Linked DNA regions of Tamandua tetradactyla. The protein of the gene in region 1 purifies or fractionates together with the protein of each later gene. This does not show direct contact. Links are inferred from orthologs where the notes say so. Each region holds a gene or a part of one and is shown in the gene's direction. Other genes may lie near its edges.

What was found.
Region 2: the proteins of EZH1 (region 1) and AEBP2 purify together in Homo sapiens (affinity purification with mass spectrometry; 3 studies listed by BioGRID and IntAct, with this or other methods). This does not show direct contact. The link is inferred for Tamandua tetradactyla from reciprocal best matches to the Homo sapiens genes EZH1 and AEBP2.
Region 3: the proteins of EZH1 (region 1) and PHF1 purify together in Homo sapiens (affinity purification with mass spectrometry; 5 studies listed by BioGRID and IntAct, with this or other methods). This does not show direct contact. The link is inferred for Tamandua tetradactyla from reciprocal best matches to the Homo sapiens genes EZH1 and PHF1.

The regions. Positions count from the first base shown.
Region 1 is NC_135332.1:24,496,958-24,504,807, forward strand, and holds the start of EZH1 (histone-lysine N-methyltransferase EZH1), read left to right. Parts: upstream 1-4,837; 5' UTR 4,838-4,969; intron 4,970-5,248; 5' UTR 5,249-5,334; intron 5,335-7,850.
Region 2 is NC_135333.1:82,026,980-82,033,838, forward strand, and holds the start of AEBP2 (zinc finger protein AEBP2), read left to right. Parts: upstream 1-3,857; 5' UTR 3,858-4,065; coding exon 4,066-4,721; intron 4,722-6,859. UniProt on the Homo sapiens protein: Acts as an accessory subunit for the core Polycomb repressive complex 2 (PRC2), which mediates histone H3K27 (H3K27me3) trimethylation on chromatin leading to transcriptional repression of the affected target gene.
Region 3 is NC_135331.1:89,391,411-89,398,974, forward strand, and holds the start of PHF1 (PHD finger protein 1), read left to right. Parts: upstream 1-4,562; 5' UTR 4,563-4,684; exon of another isoform or gene 4,685-4,761; intron 4,762-4,921; exon of another isoform or gene 4,922-5,211; intron 5,212-5,422; 5' UTR 5,423-5,437; coding exon 5,438-5,596; intron 5,597-5,675; exon of another isoform or gene 5,676-5,684; coding exon 5,685-5,766; intron 5,767-5,878; coding exon 5,879-5,974; intron 5,975-6,397; coding exon 6,398-6,501; intron 6,502-6,607; coding exon 6,608-6,756; intron 6,757-6,933; coding exon 6,934-7,029; intron 7,030-7,150; exon of another isoform or gene 7,151-7,241; coding exon 7,242-7,310; exon of another isoform or gene 7,311-7,409; intron 7,410-7,439; coding exon 7,440-7,563; intron 7,564-7,564. Other genes in the region: kinesin-like protein KIFC1, read left to right, coding at 99-389, 509-582, 728-803, 3,233-3,277. UniProt on the Homo sapiens protein: Polycomb group (PcG) that specifically binds histone H3 trimethylated at 'Lys-36' (H3K36me3) and recruits the PRC2 complex. Involved in DNA damage response and is recruited at double-strand breaks (DSBs).

The DNA.
Region 1 (7,850 bases):
TTAAGGGTCATCTCCTGCAGTGATGCAGAAGAGTCACCTTTCTTTCAGAGCCACTTTCGACTGGACACCAAATGCTATCTTTTCTCTCAGAATATCCGCGAGTACCCTTTTCAAGAAGAAGCTATGGTTGAGAGGGAGATTCCTGGGTTATAAGATGGGAGGAGGGCACAACAAGGGACAGAAAGCAAATCCAGACTTTTTCACTGGGCTGGGTCCAGAAGCCCCTGAGCCCACTATGGGTTAGGACTAAGGACGGGACAAGACTGAAGTTGTCAAAAGCAAATGCTGGGTTTGAAATAGGGCAATATGGTATAATGGGCTAAAATATCCTAAAATGGTTAGGATTCTGAGGCCAGGTTCTGCCCCTGTCTTACTGTGTAACCTTGGACAGGTCACTTTATATCTCTGGACCTCAACATTTTCACATATAAAATTGCCGTAGAATAAAAAGGGAAATGTAGATGACTCAGTAGGAAGTGTTATGTTTAACTTAGGGTTGGGTTTAAGTTTGTATGGTAATGTAATGACCTACAAAGAAGAGCTTATGTAACCATTCCTGAACTTAGAAGTCCAGATCCTCCCATTGGAGAATCTACTGATTTTCCCCCTTTCCCTATTTAATATCTGGTGGATATTTTCATTGACTGCTGGACATCTTGGTAACTGAGGGTCTGCTATAGGGGCCCCTTAGTGCTTAACAGGAGACTGGAGACTTTACCTTCCTGTTCCAAGTTGCCATAGGAGATAGTCACATGATCTACAGATATGAGACAGGGAAGGGATTTTTCAGGGTCTGAGGCTGTTTTTATCATGGAAAGCCCCCTCTTTCCAGCCATCCTTGGGGGCCTTTAACTTCTCTTTTAGCCCACTTCTGCTTTCGCTATAAAAAAATTTTTTTTCATTACAGGTAAAATATAAGTATGTACTAATTGTAAAATATTTACATAACATAGAAAACTATAACTCCACCCTGTCTCACTTACCTCCCCACATATTTTAGATTAAAAACAACATAAATGGGATTTAATGTACCTATTTGTCAATGACTTTTAAACTTAATAGGTCTTGCATATCTTTCCATGTTACTATACATAAATGTGCCTCTTTCCTTTTAACATAGCATAATATTGTTTTTAGTCTCTTTTTTCTAATATCCAGTGGGCAGATATTTTTTCTTCTATCTGCCCCCCTCCTCCCCGCCAGTGCCTGGGAAGAAAAGGATCAGATTCCGGTCCAGCTGGTCATTGTCTAGCGATTTCCGGACCCAACCTAGATTGATTCCTTCTGGAATTTACTGACATGTAAAAAAATTCCCTTCTTATTATCTGCCAAGGGCTTTCCTGCCTGGAGCAGGGGAGAGGTGATGCAACCACTAAATCCAGAACAACATAGAAGAGAGTAAAAGGCACTGGGGGCCCCCTACACCATGCAAATTATATGCACCCTGAAAGTAGCATCTTTACCATGTAGAGACATTCACACATGCTGGCCTCTGTCCAAACTGTCTGCAAAATGAAGAGTAGAGCGCCAGAGAAGATGTGAGGGAGAGGGTCAGAGAAGCTAGAAGTCCCTCCTGAGAAGAGTCTGATTCTTCAGAGGGATCAAAGGAAGCAGGGAGGACCTGAGAAGCTGCAAGCCAGGGAGGCAGCTGGCTAAAGGAGGGAAAGCAAAGGGGTAGAGACACAACTACTCAATCTCTCCCCAGGTTCCTCAGCTACAGAATGAGATGAACTTGATTACCTCCTAAAGAGAATTGTTATTAAACAAAAATTTGTCCCTGAGTTAGAAAGAAGCAGAGAAAATGTATTCCTCGTCAACCGCTGGGGACTGAATAGTAACTGCCATTTATTGAATGCTCACCTAACTATGTCTTCATAGTGTGTTCTCTGACACATGTGCCAGGTGCTTTGTATGCATTTCTTAAAGCCCTACCCCATAGGATCAGAACTATCCTGTTCATGAGTAAAATGGGGAAACAGGATCAGAGAGTTTAAATGCTTTGCCCAAGGTCCCAGAGCTTATCATTGTCAGAGTCAGGATTTGAATCCAGGACTGCTCAATACTAAGTGTTCTAGTTTGCTAGCTGCCAGAATGCAATATACCAGAAACGGAATGGCTTTTAAAAGGGGGATTTAATAAGTTGCTAGTTTACAGTTCTAAGACTGTGAAATTGTCCGAATCAAAACAAGTCTATAGAAATGTCCAACCTAAGGCATCCAGGCAAAGATACCTTGGTTCAAGAAGACTGATGATGTTCAGCATTTCTTTCTCGGTTGGAAGGGCACATGGCAAACACGATGGTGTATCTGCTAGCTTTCTCTCCAGGCCGCTTACTTTATGAAGCTCCCTGGGAGGTGTTTTCCTTTTTCATCTGTAAAGGTCACTGGCTGGTGGACTCTGTGGTCTCTCGTCCTTCTGTTATCGTTCTGCAGCTCTCTCCTCATTCTCAAAATGAACTCTTTCCAAACTGTCTCCTCTTTTATAGGACTCCCACAAACTAATCTAGACCCACTAGAATGGGTGAAGACACATCTCCATCTACTCAAGTTTAATACCCACAATGGAGTCACACCTCTGTGAAGATAACCTAACCAAGTTTACAACCTGTAGTACTAAATAGGGATTAGAAGAAATCGTTGCTCTCACAAGATTGATTAGGATTAAAACAAGGTTTTTCTAGGGTACACAAATCCTTTCGGACTGGAACATTAAGGTTCAGGCCTTAACTATTATGATATATCATCTCCCTCCCCCCCCACTCCTGCTCAGATGATTGATTCTTACTGGATGTTGAAAGGAGGGGAGGATAAAGAGTGAGAAGATCCTGCTTCACCCAACCAAGTACACTTATTCTCCTTCCCCCTCCTTCCCTGACTCAGGCTGGACCATGACATCATATGGTAGGGGCTGTTTTTCTGAAAAGAACTCTGAATGAATTCATAAGAAGGACGTTCAGACAGCATGACTGAAGAGGACCGTGGCCAAGTGACCACAGAACACACCCAGCAGTGCCGAGAACATGGCTGGTCCCTCGGCACCTGGGGCTGAATCATGGTTGCTGTAAGAGCCCAATGCCCAATGCCAGAATTGTTTTCACCCTCCCCCCAATCCTCAGGAAGGGCTGTGTTCCCTGTGGTTATCCTATGAAACCATCCCCAGGAGCCCTCTTACCCTCTCCCACCATCTTAGGATGTTGTATAACATGGCATAATAATGCTCATTAACCAAGCCCTGAGGATGCCAGGCAGTATGTTCAGTGCTTCACACAGATTATCTCACATAAAACTCACAACTCTATTAAATTAGGTATCACAGCAGCTCATTTTACAGAAACTGAGGCTCAGAAAGAGTAAGTAACCTGTCCAAGGTCCTGCAACTAGTAGTGGCAGAGTCTGGATTTGAATCCAGGTCTGCTTGATGCTGAAGCCTAAGCACTAGGCTAAGTTCCTTGATACCTCATGGAAGCCAAGCTGCTAGGTAAGATCAGATAGGAAGGGATGAGAAGCCTGGCCAGAAGGTCAACCAGACAGGGCTTCTCATGCAACAGAATACTACCCCTCTCTTGACAATGCTTGCTTTATCTACAGTGTCTTTTCCCATACTTTCTCCTAAGACCTTAGTACATTAGATGGCCGATGAAATGGAACCATGTTATTATGAAATAAGCAATTTTCTAGATCATAATAAGGATTCAATACATGTTAAGCAAATGTGATACTAATAGCCTGTATGTTTAGCATGTATGTTGCTTGTCATGTGCGCTTAAGTAATATCATAAAAGGCAGTATTTTCCTGTTCTGTAAAATAGGGATTATAATATTCAATTAACTAAGTTATAAAATATAAAGACTTAGCATTTGGCTCACAGTCAGTCAATGCTTATTTTTATTATTTCTATTGCTTTATTGATTATGAGCATGCACTTTGCAGTCAGGTAGACCTGGTTTTGAATCCCAGCTCCATCACTTGTTTAGTTGTATGTGACCTTGCACAAATTACTTAATTCCTCTGAGTTTGTTTCCTTATCAGAACAATGGGGTTCACAGCCTATATCTCACTGAGAAGTAGAGATAGTAGATATAAAGCACTTGGCACAGGGCCTGGTACCAGTAAACATGCTGATAATGGTAATTACTGTGATTTTGTGTTACACATAATGACAACTATATTTCCAAGATATTCTGGAATCTCTTCAGTTTCATAATTTTGTTCTTTTCATTATACAACACTCCTTTTATTGAAGAAAATGTAGACCTTGGAGTCAGGCAGAACTAGCCTGAGTTCGAATTACAGTTCTGTTACAGCCATGTGGCAATAGACAATATTGTCAATCTCTCTGAGCCTCAATGTCCTTTTCTGTAAAATGTGAAAAACAATACTTACCTCCCAGGTATCTCACAAGGATTACACAAGGTGATATAGGTACACACCAGTGCAATGTCCAGTGATTATGGGAATGCTTAATGCAACGTGTTCAATGTATAAATAAATATAACTTATTTTTGTTCCTTTACCTACGGTACCATGAATGTAATCTGTAGATGTATTTGTGGGTAAAGTGGCTACTTCTCTTGTTCCAAAAGGGCAAGAGCCCCATTCTAGCCACAGTAAGATTGAAAGGGGTCATAGCATCAGCAGTGTGGGGCCCTGCTGATAAGCCAGGAAAGAGAGGAGAGGAAGTCATGAACCAAGGGGACCTCCCCTTTCCTGTCTGGTTATGATTTGTTTGTTTTCCACACAGGCTGTACCCTGCTGATATGGGGGTCTGTTGAGTGTCCAGCTTTGATTGGCATCTTCAATACAGGGGAAATAAGGAGCCCCTTGACTTTCAGGAACTGTTTTCCTCTGGACTTACAGACTAGAGTTGCAAAGATATTTCTCTTGCTGTTGCCACTGGTGGGAGCAAAGAGCCACGGGGAGAATCCAGAATCATAATGTCAGGGCTGGAAGACGTCAGAGAAAGGAAGAGGTATAATGAAGCGGTTCAGGGCATGGGTTTGGGGGTCAGAATAACTGGGCCCAAATCCCGGCCACATCACTAACCAACTGAATGACTTTGAACAAATCCCAGAATCTCTTTAAGCCCTAGTTTCCTCAGCTGTAAAGTGGGGATAAGAACGTTATCAGTTTCAGGTGAAATGAGATGATGTGCAAGGCATTTAGCATAGTGCCAGGTGTAAAATTGGTGTTCAGTATATGAAGGCTATTATTATTATATTTTTCTAGTTCTGCCTTTTTGTTTTTACAGTTGAAGACCCTGATGGCCAGAAAGGAAGCACAGCTCATTAGTTGTCCGCCCAATCAAGACTACTTCCCAGGCAGGCCATGCCAAAGGTGTGTCCTGTGGGATCAAGGGGCTGCCTTAACCATTTGGAGGGAGTGAGCATGGGAGTATCACTCTAGCTATGGGGTTGGAACTTTTAGAGTATGTGCAAATCAAGGCATGAATTCCACCCAAGTAATCCCTAAAAGAGCAAGCCCCTTTTTGTAATTAACAAAAGCTAAGGAAGGCCCTCTCTGATATTTTGTCTTGGAGGCTCAGAGTTTAAATTTGTAGCAGCCATGGACAAGGGTTTATTTTAGGCCTGTTCTTACTTGCTGAGTTAAACACATTATTATAATCCTGAAGCACCTAGAGGCCAGAAGCTAAGTACCTAGGGTGGAAAACTGGATTTTTGAGATCAGAGGATAAAGTGTCCAGGAGTGGAGAGGCTTCAAAATTGAGCAATATTTCCAGGCTCAGCAACGTCCAGACCTCAACTTGCTTTGGAGCTGCTTTTGCCTCGCTGTGCCTCTAAGTGTTCAGGGAGGGGTCTGGCACTTGAGCTGACCCCACCAAGGGCTGGGCAGCAGCCCCAGTTCCTGGTGACCTTCTTGTAGGCTTTTAGGTTGTGCTTTGCTTTGCTTTGCTTTGTTTTGTTGTTTGTTGCCTCAAGGCAGGGTGGATGTTCCCTGCTTCTGGGTGGGAGCTGGGGGAGGGAGCTGGTTTGCTGTACTCCCATTTCCACAGCTGTGTTTACATTTCCCTGTCAGGGACTGTCTGAGGCCCAACCTTTCCTCAGGCCTTTGTGTCCCCTTGGAGAATGGTGGTCTAATATTACCCAGGGGAGGAGCAAAATGGGTCAAGGGAGTCACAGTTCAAAGGGGACTCAGGTTGGAAGGAAGGGATAATGCAGAGAGCTCTATTTGAATTCTGGGAGGTGTCTCCTCTCTTTCCTTTTCTAGTAGCCTGAGGAGGACCAGCAGGGGACAAAAGTACACTTAGAACTCACCCATCCCAGAAGGAATGGAACATATGTCACGTTGTTCCTAATCACTGGGTTGAACAAAATCTCACTTTGTGATGGGAATGTGAGTGCATAGAGCAAAACAGTCTTCCCTGAGCTTTCACTGGGACTAGTGGTTACAGATACAGCATGTTAGAGCTAATAAGATCATACTAAAAGACATGCAAATTTAAAAAGGGTTTAAGAAAATGGTCAAGTAAATATGCTCTTCTTCTCCAGGGAGCAAGTTGAGCTTGTATTAATCAGTACGCTAGAGTTGCTGGACTCTTGGCCAAGCTGGGAGAATGGCCGCCAAGGCAAATCAGGCATCGGGTTTCAGAAATTAAACACATAATTTTGTTTTTCCGCAATAGGGAACTTTCAGAAAAGGAACCAGCCCTATTAAGCTACACAGCACACTTTGTCCAGTTTCTTTCAGCCCCAGAGGCCTGCAGTTCAAGAGCAAGATGAGCAACTGGAAGCCAAGAGTGACAGAGTTGTTCCTTTCTCCCATTAACTGCCCGGGGGCGGAGCAGGCAAGAGTGGGGCAGGGGTGATGGTACTGTTTTCCAAGGGTCCAGTTACTGACAACACCCTAACAGTTTTTCTATGAATTTACAGGAAAAAGACCTAAAGGAATGGAAAGTAAAAAGAATTGTAGGGGGACAGCTAACCAAACAAAGGTTGGCTGATAGTGCCACATGGAACTCTCAGCTAAGAGTTTCCTCTCCAGAAAAACTCTCTCCCATTTTAATGAGGAGAAACCAACTGGCAAACAATTTCTCCCAAGAACCCAAGTTTACTGGTGATGTAGAAAGTCGTTTTTATAATCCTTCAGCGAGGATATACCTTTCTCTCAAGTGCTCATGGATCATTCTCAGGGATAGACCATATGCTGGGTCACAAAGCAAGTCTCAATAAATTTAAAAAGATTGAAATCATATAATCCTTCAGTGAACCGGGATTACTTGGGTTTAGTCCTATGCCAGGGATCCTGGTGGATATAAAAGGGGCGTATGGCACGGTACAGAGTATAAAGTACTGCCAGACCTGAAGTGCCTGGGAGATCCACGAGGGCAGGAAGCCCTGGTGAGGCTGTAGATCTTGAACCAGGTTGCATAACTCTGATCTACTTTGGCATAAATCCCCTCACCTTCCTTCCTTTTCACCTCAAACTATTTCTGTAACTATACTTTCCTTGTTATCTCAAAATTTCTTTTTATCTCTCATCTTATCACTTGAATAGTCACTTTGACAGCCACTCCCATGGCTTCAGTTACCATCAGTCGGTGAAGGTTCACAAATCTCTCACCAGTTTTTCTCCTGACATTCAAATCTTCTGAACATCTCTTAGAAAACCCACTTTCTTTCTTTCAACAACTATTATCCCAAGAACCCAAGTTTATTGGTGATGTGGAAAGTTTTATAATCCTTCAGCGAACTGGGATGACTCGTGTTTAGTCCTATGCCAGGCATCCTAGTGGATATAAAAGGAGTGTACAATAGTTCTCAAACTTGGCTGCACATTAGCATCACCTGGGGTGCTTTTAAAACTCTTGACACCCAGGCCATACCCTAGCCAAA
Region 2 (6,859 bases), on another chromosome or scaffold:
AGAAGTATCTCACATGCAGTGTAGCAGGAATCTCGGCTTGAATGTAAACTGGATCTGTTGCTGGGGTTCAAGCATGTCTGGGCATGTCTGGCAAACTGGTGAGACAGGACTGAAAGAAACTTGCTTACATGGGGGCTGAGGCTGCTTCCTGGAACAGAACTCATTTTCGTGGAAGAAAGAATTAGACAGAGAAGCCCTATAAGAAAGACTTACTCATTGGATGGGGAGTAATAAATACAGCGTGGGGTAGCTGCTACTCAAATCTGTCGCCATTCTAGGCCCATGAAAGCATGTCTGGGTCCCTTAGAGAGACAGACTTCTGAATAAAAAACATAAAGAGCTGTTTCACTGAAACAGTGTATAATACTGGGCATAAGCAGTTTGCTTTGGGGTTCCCCTAGCAAAGGTCAACACGAACGTCTCCATTTCTTCAGACGACACCATGGCTTGGGCTGTTTGTATCACATGCAAAAGCTCCTGGTAGGAGTTTGCAGTGTCTAGAACAGTGAAGAGGGCTCTCAGAAATATTTTTTTGGTGTACTCTGCTGGAAGCTGATGTCCTGACTATGTAAGTAGGCTTGGTAGGCACAAAAGATAATGATATTTGAGTTATTTTTGTTAATGCGACCTCATTAATACTATAATTGATGAGTTTGAATAATATTTGTAATCAATTAGCTTTTATGCAGTATTATTGGGCAATTTGTAATTATTTATAGGGTCACATACTGTCTGAGCTGAAGCGAACTGTAGAACAGTGATTCTCAATTTGTGAACAGTTTTTTGTCTTTCTTTTTAATTTGCAAAGGACTGCTACTTGTGTAAAGTACAGTGAAAATGAATGGCCAGAATAATGAAATTAAAAAAAAAAAAACAACAGTTGACATAAACAAAAAGGATTGATTTTTATTATTAGGTTCAGCAGACGTAAAACAGAATTACTCTGTCGGGTTGTTAACAAAGTTTGGAAACGTTCATTTCGGTATTTTTGCGGTCGCATTCAGGTAAGGAAGGCTTTGTGTTGTGTTTGTGGAAGCAGCCACGCTTTCCGCTGTCTCTTCCAACCTCTCAGCTGATGCTGCCTAAAGAAACTCTATCAATGGAGGTGCAGAATCTATTAAAACAACGATTTAAATTTCGAGAGTTTAATGACACCGATACACTGTGGTAATGTGGAGAAAGATCTTGTTTTTAGGAGACGCATGCAGAGTAGTGACGTCTGCAACTGAAGCCGATAAACCTGAGAGGGAAACTGGGAGAGAGGGATAGAGGGAGGCAGAGGGAGGGGGAGAGAGGGAAGTAGAGAGGGTGCACATATGGCAAATTGCAGTAACTGATGAATCTAGATAGGTGTATGGGTGAGCTTATTATACAATTATTTAAACTTTTTAGAAAACTTGCTATTAAAATAACAAAAAACAAACAAAACCAAAAACAAAATAAACACCACCCCCCGGAAAAAAAAACAACTCTGCAGTAGTGGAAAACTCATTATTTTCTCCAAAAAACCCAATTTCATCTTAAAGTATAAATATTGTAGCTGGAGCACTCATTTGTGGCTTTGATTACTGTCATTTCCATGTGTAAATCTCCATTCACTTTTTTTTCAGTCCCTCCATATCCCCTATACATTAGATATGGCCTTACTACATAGCTGTACTCACACCTTTCTTAAGATACCTCAGAATATACTCGTTATTTTTCAGCATCAAAACTCTTAATTCAAGACCTGCAAAAGCATTGCTTTCTCATGATTGATTAACCCTGTCTCAAATAAACTTTTATGCTTTTCTATGCTATTGCTTCTGTCTTAGAATTCCCCCCCGCACAATTATATTTTATTTACTCTTCAAGATCCAGCTCAAATTATTTAAATTTACATGTAGCTATCATCTACCTTACTTTCTACACTTCTGTTTAAATCTTACATTCTTCACGAAGTTTCCTTGATGAACTCAGCCAAAGGTCTCTAGTACTTAACAGAGAGCTTGGTGATTACACTCAGTAAACAGTTTTGAGTGAATACGCTCTGTTTAGTTCTTCATTTTCAATAAGGGTGTATTATCAAAAAATGGCTTTGAGGTAAAAATGGAGTACTGTAGTGAAGGAACTATAATGCTTTCATACTAATTTTATTTTGTTTTCTCTTGAGACAACATCGCATGTAACTGATGTCCAAAACCTGAGCATGAGACATAATACTGGGGTACTCACGGTATATGAAGACTTTCCCGTATGTGTATGAGCACAGACTCTATTTTAAGGCAATAGGTTGTCTGATACTCATCTCCCTTAGACAGGTGTCCTTAAAATTGATCTGCTTGAAAATGTGCCCTGGGTTCAGGGTGCAGTGCAGACTACCCTCCCTTATTCCAATTGCCTTTCTCCCAAACAAAAGAAATGAAAGCATGATGCACACTCACCTCAAATCTTAAGGGCCAAAAATCTCCCAAAATTTTACTAAAAGGGCAAAAAAACCCTCCAGGATGCAAAAACCTCCAGAACACCAATGAAGGGGCAAGTGGAAATACTGTGGGTGAGTGAGAATGAGGAGCACATCCATTACAAATCAGGTGGTTTTCAGTTACACACAGCAGAGTTGAAGGAAAACCTAATCAGAGTTGTCAGCTGAAAGATCATTGAAAGTATTTTGTTGTTGTTAAATCTCTATGATTTTTTGGCATATAATTTGGAAGGAGTTCAAAGATTTGAGTGACATTGCTATTATTCACAGAAGTCCATTCATTCGCATCTACTTATTGTTGTGAACAAGTTTCCTCGGTGTCTACATCCACGGAATTGAAAACTTGGAATAGAATTAACGCTGAACTCCTTATTTTTCTAGTAATATTCAGCCACTGATTAAACTTGTTGAAACAAAAACCTATCTAACTCCATTGCTGTAAGAATGGTCTCCTCCAGGTTTTACTTTTGTGTTTAATACTTACAAAAATTTACCATATGTGTTTTGACTAGTTGTAATAACACTTAGAATCTTATGGTCAGTAAAATTAAAAAAAAAACCCTTAAATTTCAGTTTGTATGCACATTTTTGTTATACGTTAAGAGTGATAGGATCAATAAAAGACAAAATGTTTTATTGGGATAAAATACTGGAGGGGAAGTTTAATACAAATAAAAGTTCCAAAAGATAAAGGAAAGATTGACAATTTCTGTGTAAAAGAAGAGATTGTTCACGTATTCTAAAAGAGTGGATTTGGCGGGTATTAAATCCCTATGGTATTGGAATTGCCTACATTTAAAAAGGGTGACAGTTACATTTTAAAGCCAGTACTTATAACACGCTGGAAAAAAACCGTAGGTGCCATCTACGTTTAAGACTGTACATAGTTTTACAAAATTAAGGGGCTCATGACTTACAACGTTTGAAGACTTCTCACCCAAAGGATGGATACTCTGAGGTTATGATTTCACCATCATTACAACTATTCAAACAGGTTAGATTTAAACCTGTGGCTCTATGTTGCACATATGGACTTAGTAACTTGTATGATTTAATTTGGTTCCTTTTAATCGCCTCTCCTTGGAGATCATAACCTCTCTTAAGGCCAGGAACTTATTCCATCCCAGGCTCAGCGCCAGTACGCAGCGGACACTCCCCAAATACCGCCGAAACAAATGACTTTCTCGTGCGAATTCGGAGGGTTGTTAAAATCCCCGGTCAGCGTTGGGGTTTCAGTTTCTTGTGTTGCGCTCGCCGCGCTGCCCGAGAGCGCGTGGGAGGACCCCTAGGAAACTCTGACGGCACCGAGCGGGAGCTGGGGCGCGGGCGCGGAACCTGCGGACTGGGGAGGCGGCACCTCATGCTCCGCGCAGGCGCGCAACTGTCTCCGCGTGAGTGCGCGTAGTCGCGCGCCTGTCCCCGCGCGGGCTCCGTAGCGCGTGTGCAAGCTGACGCAGCTCGCGGGCCCTCCTCCTGCTCTGCCGCGGCTTCGGCGGAGTTTTGGGCGTTTGGGAGGGGGCGAGGGAGCGAGAGTAGAGACAGCGAGAAGGCGGCAGCGGCGGCGGCGAGGAGGAGGAGGAGGAGGAGTAACAGGCGCCGCCATGGCCGCCGCTATCACCGACATGGCCGACCTGGAGGAGCTCTCCCGCCTGAGCCCTCTGCCCCCTGGCAGCCTCGGCGCGGCGCGAGGTCGGGCTGAGCCCCCTGAAGAGGAGGAGGAAGAGGAGGAGGAAGAAGAGGAGGCGGAGGCCGAGGCGGTGGCTGCACTGCTGCTGAACGGCGGCGGCGGTGGGGGTGGCGGCGGCGGAGTGGGGGGCGGCGAGGCGGAGACGATGTCGGAGCCTAGCCCCGAGAGCGCCAGCCAGGCCGGGGAGGACGAGGACGAAGAGGAGGACGATGAGGAGGACGAGAGCAGCAGCAGTGGCGGGGGCGAGGAGGAGAGTAGCGCCGAGAGCCTGGTGGGCAGCAGTGGCGGGAGCAGTAGCGACGAGACCCGGTCCCTGAGCCCCGGCGCTGCCAGCAGCAGCAGCGGGGATGGCGATGGCAAGGAGGGCCTGGAGGAGCCCAAGGGACCGCGGGGTAGCCAGGGTGGCGGTGGGGGCGGCGGCAGCAGCAGCAGCAGTGTAGTCTCCAGCGGCGGCGACGAGGGTTACGGGACCGGGGGAGGCGGAAGCAGCGCGACCTCCGGGGGCCGGCGAGGCAGCTTAGAAATGTCTTCGGATGGGGAGCCCCTAAGCCGCATGGACTCGGAGGACAGGTCAGTGCACCGAACCGTCTCCCCTTCCCTATGCCCTCTTGCACTCCTGGACCCCTTTAGGGGACTTTCTGCTGAGACCCCCGTGTTCCCTGAACCTTCGGCGCCTCCCCCAGGCTCTCAACTCCGAGATCTCCGACCGCCGCGCCCCTTTCGCAGCGGATAGCGGCTTCTAACTCTCAGACCATTTTTCTCCAACTCTCCTTTCCCCGCCCTCTTCCCTCTAGGCTCTGTGCTTCTTATGGACCTAAGGGGAGCTCTAACTTGGAAACAATCCCCAAATAGGTCCCCGATCTCCTGGTGGAGCACGAGGAGGCTTTGATGTACACCTTGGTACATAAGGTTAGCTTCATTCAACCGTCCTCGTGAACACTTGTCAGAACTATAATTGACAAGTGTCTTCCAACATGGCTGGTCTCGCCTGGATTTAACATAACTTCCTTGTCCAGGAAGGAGACCCCAATTATCGCTTTTCTCTACTTAAAGAAAAAAAAAATAAAAAAGGAAGATTGTGCTTTTATATTTAATCAAAGCTTTCCAAATTCCTCATTTGCAGTCATTAATGTGATTTCTGACATGATTTTAATAATCTTTTCTGTTTTGTGGTCAAATCTGGAAGTTTAAAACGCGTGTAAATTATCGTGGAAAGAATAATGAATTGCTGTTTTTTAAAATAACGGGCGTCAAAAAGTAGTAATGATAATACAGTGTCGAAGGTTCAACATACTAGTGTGTCGTTTAAAATCTTTAAAAAGTAATGCTTCGAAGTGAGAGTCACGATTTTAGATGATATTAAAAGTCATGTATGGGAGAGGCCTATGAAGAAATGAGTATCATTTTCTAAAACTTGCTAGGAATAAAGTGGAGACTGATTAAAAATGCATCCAGTATTTTCAGATTTGATAAAAATATTGTAATAGTATGTTTCCGTTCACAATCATTACACTGATCCCTTTGGAGAACTTAATGTTTTAATTAACTGGTTTTTAATGTACTTTTAAACAAAAGAATTATATGCATCATGCATATTATATTTCTAAAGTATATTAGCATTTATTTTAATCATCTAATATTTTGAGGAGCAGTAGGATTTTTAACAATCAGTATTGATTTTGATTTAAGAGTTTAAGTATTCTAAAGTTTTTTTTGCAGGAATTTTGATGAACAAAAGTAAAACTATCTTCAGTGTTACAAGGAATACAAAGGTCTGAATATTTTGGAAATCTAGCATTAGATTCTGTTCCACGTTTACTTTGTCTAGTTAAAACAGTTTGGATGGAGTAAAATAGACTATGAATGTTAGAAAAATTGTTCGTACCTAGGCAGGAAGAAGAATGTTCTCAAGAAAATTACAGATTATTTGTGAACTGCATAGTGAATTACGTGCTGTTTATCATTTTGTTATATTCTTCACTGCTACCACTAGAAGTTGATGTTAGGTTATACAGTCAGCATCTATCGCAGTTCCTTGTATTTACTGAATATTCATACACACACATAAACACACACATAAACATCCACATTTGCCTAATACTGCACAGTTTAAATGTTTCAGCTTTAGTACAGGATATTATTTTGACTTCCATTTAATAGATGATGAAACAAGTTGAGTTGTGTCTTACTCAAAACAATTCAGCTTGGGAGTTAACAAAGGTTCTCAAGTCCCCTGTTATTTCAATTTAACAAGACACTGAATAATTCACCTTAAGTAGCAAGTTGTGTATGTCAGATTTTGTTTGTTGCGTTAATTTCTTTCCATTACATCTCCTAAGGAGACAGTTTGTTGGCCATGTAATATTTCAGAAAGGATGAATTTTGGTTTCATTTGACATTTAATAGATAATTTCTTTGAAAATCTAATTTTTACATCCTTCAAAGTAAGGAGTAATGGTTTCAGGTGGTTAAAACGTAGATAACTAAGCATACTTGTCTTTTCTTAAAGAATGCTTAAATATTAGAGATTTCAAAATTTTGTGGTAATTTTTATATACAGTTTCAGGGTATTAAATTAATCACTTGGATGAAAGAGCTTTATATAAGTAGTGAACCTGGTTGCTGGTCTTGAACTTAATTCTGAAATGTCCTCTTCTTGCCTCTGAAGGTCCCCCCTCTCCCCCCAGAGTTGTTTTAATTTGGAAAGA
Region 3 (7,564 bases), on another chromosome or scaffold:
TTCATGCACTAGAAAGCAAAACCTCAGAGGGCAGGGGCTGACCCTCATTCACTGCCATTCCTGATATTGCCTTTTCCCCTTGCTGCTACCCTCCCTAGGTAGAGGCCCTGCTCCATCTGGCCCACCAGAACCGGGCTGTGGCCCGCACAGCTCAGAATGAGCGGTCATCACGCAGCCACAGTGTGTTCCAGCTGCAGATCTCTGGGGAGCACACTGGCCGGGGCCTGCAGTGTGGGGCCCCCCTCAGCCTGGTGGACCTGGCTGGGAGTGAGCGGCTAGACCCCGGCTTAGCCCTTGGCCCAGGGGAGCGGGAACGACTTAGGGAAACACAGGCCATTAACAGCAGCCTGTCCACGCTGGGGCTGGTCATCATGGCCCTAAGCAACAAGGTGGGAGTGGTGGGCCTCGGGTGGGGCAAGGGGAGTTGGGACTTAGAGGAAGGCTGGGTGGGCCTGGCCATGCTGAACCTTCCCCTATTCTAACCACCTGCCCCCTTTCAATCATCTAGGAGTCCCACGTGCCCTACCGAAACAGCAAGCTCACCTATCTGCTGCAGAACTCTCTGGGCGGCAGCGCTAAGATGTGAGTGAAAGGGACGATGGAAGGGGATGGGATAGGAACTGGGATGCGTTGGGTCAGGGTGGGGAAAAGAGAAACAATGGGGACCTGGTCAAGGTTCCACCCAGCTGCTGATGCTGAAGTTTGGCTCCCTTTCTTCTTTCTACAGGCTCATGTTCGTGAACATTTCCCCGCTAGAAGAGAACATCTCTGAAACCCTCAACTCTCTGCGCTTTGCCTCCAAGGTGCGATTACCATTAAGCCCAGGGGCTGTCAGGACCCCTGGATAATTGTAGGCTGCTTCATCCCTAGCCCTTCTGTTCTGTGGGGCCAGGGGGCACTTTCATCTTGCAGGGATTTACATTTGCTTCAGTCTGGCATCTCCAGTACTACCCAACTGGATCTATTTTTAACTATTGGTTTTAGGCCTTTTTAAAAGTTTTTTTAATAGGTGATTAAAAGGTTTAAACTATATAGAAAGCTGTACATAGCATAATCACGTCTTGCTTCCACCGCATTCTCCCGCTTATTTAGTATAAGTCATCATTTTTATCATTTGTCATTTTCTTATTTATCCTTCCAATATATAGATATATATATATATATATATTTGTAAATTTAAGCTATGTTCCTTAACCCCCTTCCTTATATAAAATCTCTCTCCCATCTCTATATGGTTCTATACCTTGTGGGTTTTGTTTAATAATGTAACCCCAAGACTACTCTCCAGCAGCATAGAGAGATCATCCCTTTCTTCCATTCTTTTTAGGGCTGCCTAGCACTCCACTGTGCGGATGCACCAACGTTTATCCACCAGTTCCCTCTGCTGGACAACTGGGATTGTATCCACTCTTTTTCTCTTACAGACAAGGCGACATTTACTAACTGTCCATATGTCATTTTCTATTTGTTTAATTATGTCTATAGGGTAGATTCATAGAAACGGGACTTTTGGATCAAAGGAGACTTAGGGAGTTTCCAGATCCTTCGAAATAGTGTGAATTCAGGCTTCAGAACCCATGAGGGTCAGCCATTGGCCGCAGATGCTCGAGGAAACTTGTGTACCTTCCACCTGAGTTAAGCCAAGTCAGAAAGTTGTACTATCTGCCTCTGGGGAGTAATGTTTTTCTCTGGCTTAACCTTTTTTTTCAGGGGGGATAGCCCTGTGATGGGTTCTGGCTTTATTTGAGGTCTCTGATTAGGCCTGCCATTCTGCTGTGTTTGGGCTTTCCCCAGTGCTACCATAGGGGGTGGTTTGCTGCTGTGGAGCAGCCAGTGGCCTCAGCACCTGCACACTGCCATGGTCTGCTTTGATTCTGTATTTTAACAAGTTCAACTGAAAGGGTGTTCTTGTTTTGAACTTTTTATTAAAGTTAAATGTTAACATCCAACAACATGAACTCTTTAATGTCCTCTAATACCCAGTTCATGTTAAATTTCACTGTTGTTTCAGAAATATCCTTTATTCATTAGGTTTATTCACATTAGGATACATGGGATCCAAGCAAGGGCCACCTGTTCCATTTGGTTGAAATGTCTCTTAAGTTTCTTCTAGTATATAACACCCTTCCTTTTATGCCATTTCTTTGTTGAAGAAATAGGGTCATTTGTCCTATGGAACATATTGTATTCTAGATTTTGATTGATTGCTTCCTTTATCCCTCATACAGTTTATCTTGTAGCTTGATTAGATTTGAGTCAGGTTCCCATTTCTTGGTAAGAAAAGTCAGTAGATGGTACAATACACATTGCATTGTATCAGAAGGATACAATTTAGCTGTTCCACTTTCAGTGACAAAAAATTTGATTATTGGATTTGGGTGTTGTTAGTCTGATCCATCCATTTCATAACTCATTTTTCACTTAATTTTATCAGACAATGATGATCATGCCTAGATTCAGTATTTCATTAGGGAATTTTTAAATGGAGGCTCTTCTAATTTTATCAGTTATTTGGCATTCCCTAGTTATGATTCTCCTAAATGATTTTCCTTCATTTAGTTACTCCAAGATTGAGTCCATATAGGCAGGGTAGGTAACAGATTATCAGTTTTCAGTATAATGGAAGTGATACCCTTGCAAATTCCAGAGGTGACCAGTGAGTTCTTATCTAGAGGTATCATTTTGTAGATATTTATATATTTGATGTATATCAATCCTTTGCAGTCTTTATTTTTTTCTGATGTTCACATTTGTGCCATTTTTGGCCAGTTGGGGCCCCTTCAAGTTGGTTCCTGTGTCCTTTAGACAGGGTCCCAATAGTCTGTGTTCCAAACTCATCTTGAACACTTCCTGCCCCAGATTTGAAAGCATCCCTTTTCCAAGGCATTCTGGTTCCTAAATGGATTTTGTTAATATTTTATCTAGCTTATTAGGAATTCCGTGGGGTTCAAGGTTTTTAAGTCATGATATTGTTGGAAATGGAAGTTAAGTTTCTCCCTCTGCTCTTATATCTTGCTGTGGGGAGTCTTCTCTTGCCATTTCGCCTCCTCCAGGGCTAATGGGTATAGGAGGACTAACTATAACCAGCCTGAGCCTGTTTTCAGAGTTGCTATTTCACTATTCCCCAAGAACAGCTCTAGCATTGGGGATCAAAACAGATTTTGGGAAAACTGTTCTTTTAGTTACTGTGCAAACTTTTTAATCCTGCCTATTTACCCCCCCCTGCCCTCAGGTGAACCAGTGTGTTATTGGTACCGCCCAGGCTAACAGGAAATGAAGACGGAGCCAGATCCTGTGTGTGTTTGTGTGTGTTTGGGTGGAGGGGTGGCTGGGGATGCCTGGGGGGGGGGGGGGAAGCTCTGTATCTAGGCCTATTAAATAAAGAACATTTTTTTTTTAAAAGTGAAATCTTATTTGCAGCTATTTTTCATATCTCTAAAGATGGGAGCTGTGGATCTGTCTGCTCTGCTAAGCCTGTGTTCTGAAGCCTGCCCTTTATCTCCTCCTTGGCCCTTCCGGTTCTGGACCCTGGTCATCTCCCCCACACCTTCCTCACTTTGGGCGTCCGCATAAAGATGTGCCCACTAAGCTATCCAGTCTTAACGGTCACTAGTTGTTTCGCCTTTACACCCCACCCCCTGGCTGGAATGTTCCTTTGGCGTATGTGGAATGATGGGGACCCGAGCTCAGGAAAGGGGACCAGCGCGCACTCCCATAAACCGCTGGCTCTTTCCTCCCGCCTTTCCCTGCCTTCCCTTTCGAATCGCCAGGATTCTACCCCGCCCGCCGCCTATTGGCTGGCTCTCGGTGACGTCACCGTCCTGGGTGCTAGCCAGCCTCGTCCTTGTATAAGGTCTCCAAGTGCCAGGCTTTACGTACAAGGGAAGCGGGAGCGCGCTGACTCTCGCGCCAAGCACCAACGGCCGCCGCCCGGTACAGGAGGGGCTGGCCCAGTCCTCCCAGGTGCCGCGCGCGGGAGGGGCTACGCATGCGCGAAAGCACGGTGGGCGGGGAGGAAATAACTTGCCACGGAGAGGGCGGGGCCGGGGGCAACGGCGGGAGGAGGGCGGGGCACTCGTGGGAGGAGGGCGTGGCGGGGCAACGGGAAGGGTGAATGGAGGGCGGGACTGGGGGGCGGGACTTCGAGTGACCACTGACGTGGTGGGGGGCAGCTAACGGATGTGGCATGGGGCGGGGGCCCAGCCCAAAGGCGGGCTGCCGGGAGGGGGGATTCCCTCCTGCCCCGAGGGCGGGTCTCCCGTCTGAGGAAGGGGCTGTGGGGATTCCCTCTCCCTCCGAGTTCGACTGTCCGCCCGCCCCAGCCGCGGAGAGAGCGCCGCGCGCTCTGCGCCTCCAGGCCTGTTGAAGGTGAGGGAGGTGGGGTGAGGTGGTGCCCGCCCCCCCCGGCTCCTCCTCCCCCCAGTCCTCCCCTCCCACCACCCTCCCCCCCAGTCGGTCCGTCCCTCCCCTCCTCCCCCCTGCCGCCTCCTCCTGCCGCTGCCGCTGCTTTGGCTGCTGCGTCATACGCCCCAGAGCCGCCGGGACGGAGGGGCTGGGCCTGAGGACCCCCCGGTCTCTGCCTGTACGCCCCACGACGGCCGGACGTTCCCTCCCCGCGCGGAGGACTCGCCTCGGTCTCTCACGGCTGCCCCTGCCCGGCTCCCGGCGCCCCCAGCTGTCACCGGTAAGGAGGCGGCGGGAGACGCCAGTGGAGGGGGGGGCGGTGCACAGAGCCTGGGGTCGGTGCGCAGGGCGGGTGGGCGAGCCCTCGTTGCCTGGGCATCGGGTCCGGTTGCGTCGGCTCAAGTCGCCTCACGCTCGGACTCGCTCGTCGTGGGGAGTAAAGACTGGGACTGGGACACGCCCCCCTCCCAGGGCACTCAGGGAAGTTATTTAACCTGGGGGGGGGGGGGGAGGCTGGGATCCCCGAATTTGAGGGTGACCTGACATAACCTGGCACTGGGGTGATTGTTCTGAATGAGACACGCGCCGGCCTGGGGAAGCAGCCGTTTCTCAGAGACTCTGGACAACATCTCCAGAAAAGCTCCCAAACACATCTCTGGGCAACAGAGCACCCCAATTTTACCTCTACATAGCAACGGAATGTGACAGTAGAAGCTGAGTGATAGTCTTTGCTTCTGCAACCATCGTTTCAGCTAACATTTCAAGGCCAGGTTATAATATCCCAGGGGAGCTCAGGAAGCTGGAAAACTAGAGAATTGGGGGGTGGGGGTGGGTTATCAGGGATAGGAGTCAGGCACCAGAGTTGGGAAAGCTGGAGTCAAGAAGCTAGTAAAAGGTGCTGAGTGGTTTCATATCCAAATATCTTAGGGATTTGGAGAATGGAGGATGGGGGTGGGTGGGTAGCTGCTGAATATCTCAGCTTTCATAACCTTCTCTTCTCTATCTCATTTCTGGCTAGGCCCCCCAGAATGCAATGGCGCAGCCCCCCCGGTTGAGCCGCTCTGGTCCCCCCCAACTTTGGGACCCAGCTTCCCCTGCTCCCACCTCAGGCCCCAGGCCCCGACTTTGGGAAGGTCAGGATGTGCTGGCCAGATGGACTGATGGGCTGCTTTACTTGGGGACCATCAAGAAAGTAAGCCCTTTGACCTCTGACCTGTCACCTTCTTCCCATTCCCTTTAATCCTGACTCCCATCTCATCCTCTGAACTTACCCATTTTAGGTAGACAGTGCTCGGGAGGTCTGTCTGGTCCAGTTTGAGGATGATTCCCAGTTTCTGGTTTTATGGAAGGACATTAGCCCTGGTGAGACCCTAGCGGCCTGAGTATATATATATCCCACTGAAAACTGAAACCTGACTTCGGGGGGCAAAAGGGGGCTTATGGGCAGGCCCCCTGACACCATGTTCCCCCACAGCTGCCCTCCCTGGGGAGGAACTCCTCTGTTGTGTCTGTCGCTCTGAGACTGTGGTCCCTGGGAACGGGCTGGTCAGCTGTGAGAAGTGTCGCCATGGTAAGAAACATGGGCCTTCCAGGCTGCCTCTGGCCTTTCCCCCATCTATTTTCATACCACCTGGTCTGGCCTGGATCCCCAGGCCACCACTTTGGCCAGTCTCTTCAACCCCATAACCTTGCCTTCTTCCAGCCTGGGGAAAAGGAGTCATGGAAAGGGGGTAGGGGGTGGGGGAGGGGGAGCCTTGCAGGCAGTGTGTGGTTCACATACACTGTCTTCTAGCCATGTTAACTTGGTCAAGTCCCCTCTTAACACCTAGGGGTTTTAGCTCCCTTGCCTATAAAATAAAGATAATACATCCCATCCCAGCAGGACCATGGTCAAGGATTAAATGAGATGGATAAGGCTATTCCTACCCCAGTGCTAGCACACATAGGTATGTAATACAATAACTGATTTACTATCAACATTATTATTACTCAGCTTATCACCAGGACTGTCATGTTCCAAGGGCCCCAGCCCCTGGAGAGGGAGAGGGCACATCTCCCTGGGTCTGCCGCCAGTGCGTCTTCGCCATCGCCACCAAGGTAAAAGGCACCTCTCATTACCACTGCTGAAATGCTTTTCATTGGGAGCCCCCTACCTCTCCTCTCTCTGCCCCTTTGAGGCCACCTACCTGTTCTCTATTTGCAGAGGGGGGGTGCCCTGAAGAAGGGTCCCTATGCCCGGGCCATGCTGAGCATGAAGCTCTCTCTGCCATATGGACTTAAGGGGCTGGACTGGGACGCTGGACATCTGAGCAACAGGCAGCAGAGCTACTGTTACTGTGGTGGCCCTGGGGAGTAAGTAAGGGTAGAGGGCTAAGGAATGAGTGATATGGGTTTGGGGTGGGGGGCTGATCAAGAGCATGAAAATGGATTGAGGGGAATGCCGAGTGGGATGGGGGGGTATGTGATGGGCAGGGTATGGGGCAGTTATGGGGAGATATTCGGAGGCCAGTGTCCCACATTCCTCCATAGGTGGAACCTGAAAATGTTGCAGTGCCGGAGCTGCCTGCAGTGGTTCCATGAGGCCTGTACCCAGTGTCTGAGCAAGCCCCTCCTCTATGGGGACAGGTGAGACCAGGACAGATCCTCCAGGAGCTGACAGCCTGCCTTGCTTCCTGTTCCAACTTCTCAGCTCCACCATATCCTCCTCCCCTCCCATCCCTTCCCAACCACTACATTGTCACTTTACCTGTTGGCCCTATCTTTGCTGGTGAGTTCTCTGTATAGGATGTTATCTTTTCCAGCATAAAGTATATTCTCACTCTTTTGCCCCCATCCAGGTTCTATGAGTTTGAATGCTGTGTGTGTCGGGGGGGCCCTGAGAAGGTCAGGAGGCTACAGCTTCGCTGGTAAGCTGAGCTGGGCATGAGCTTCTCTCAAACCTGGAGTCTTTTTACCCTACATGCTCCCACCTACCATCCCAGAATTCCCTGGCTTTTGTGATGTTTCTCTGACCTTACAACCCCATGTTTCTCCAGGGTGGATGTGGCCCATCTTGTCCTCTATCACCTTAGTGTATGCTGTAAGAAGAAATATTTTGATTTCGATCGTGAGATCCTCCCCTTCACCTCTGAGAATTGGGACAGTTTGCTCCTAGGGGAGG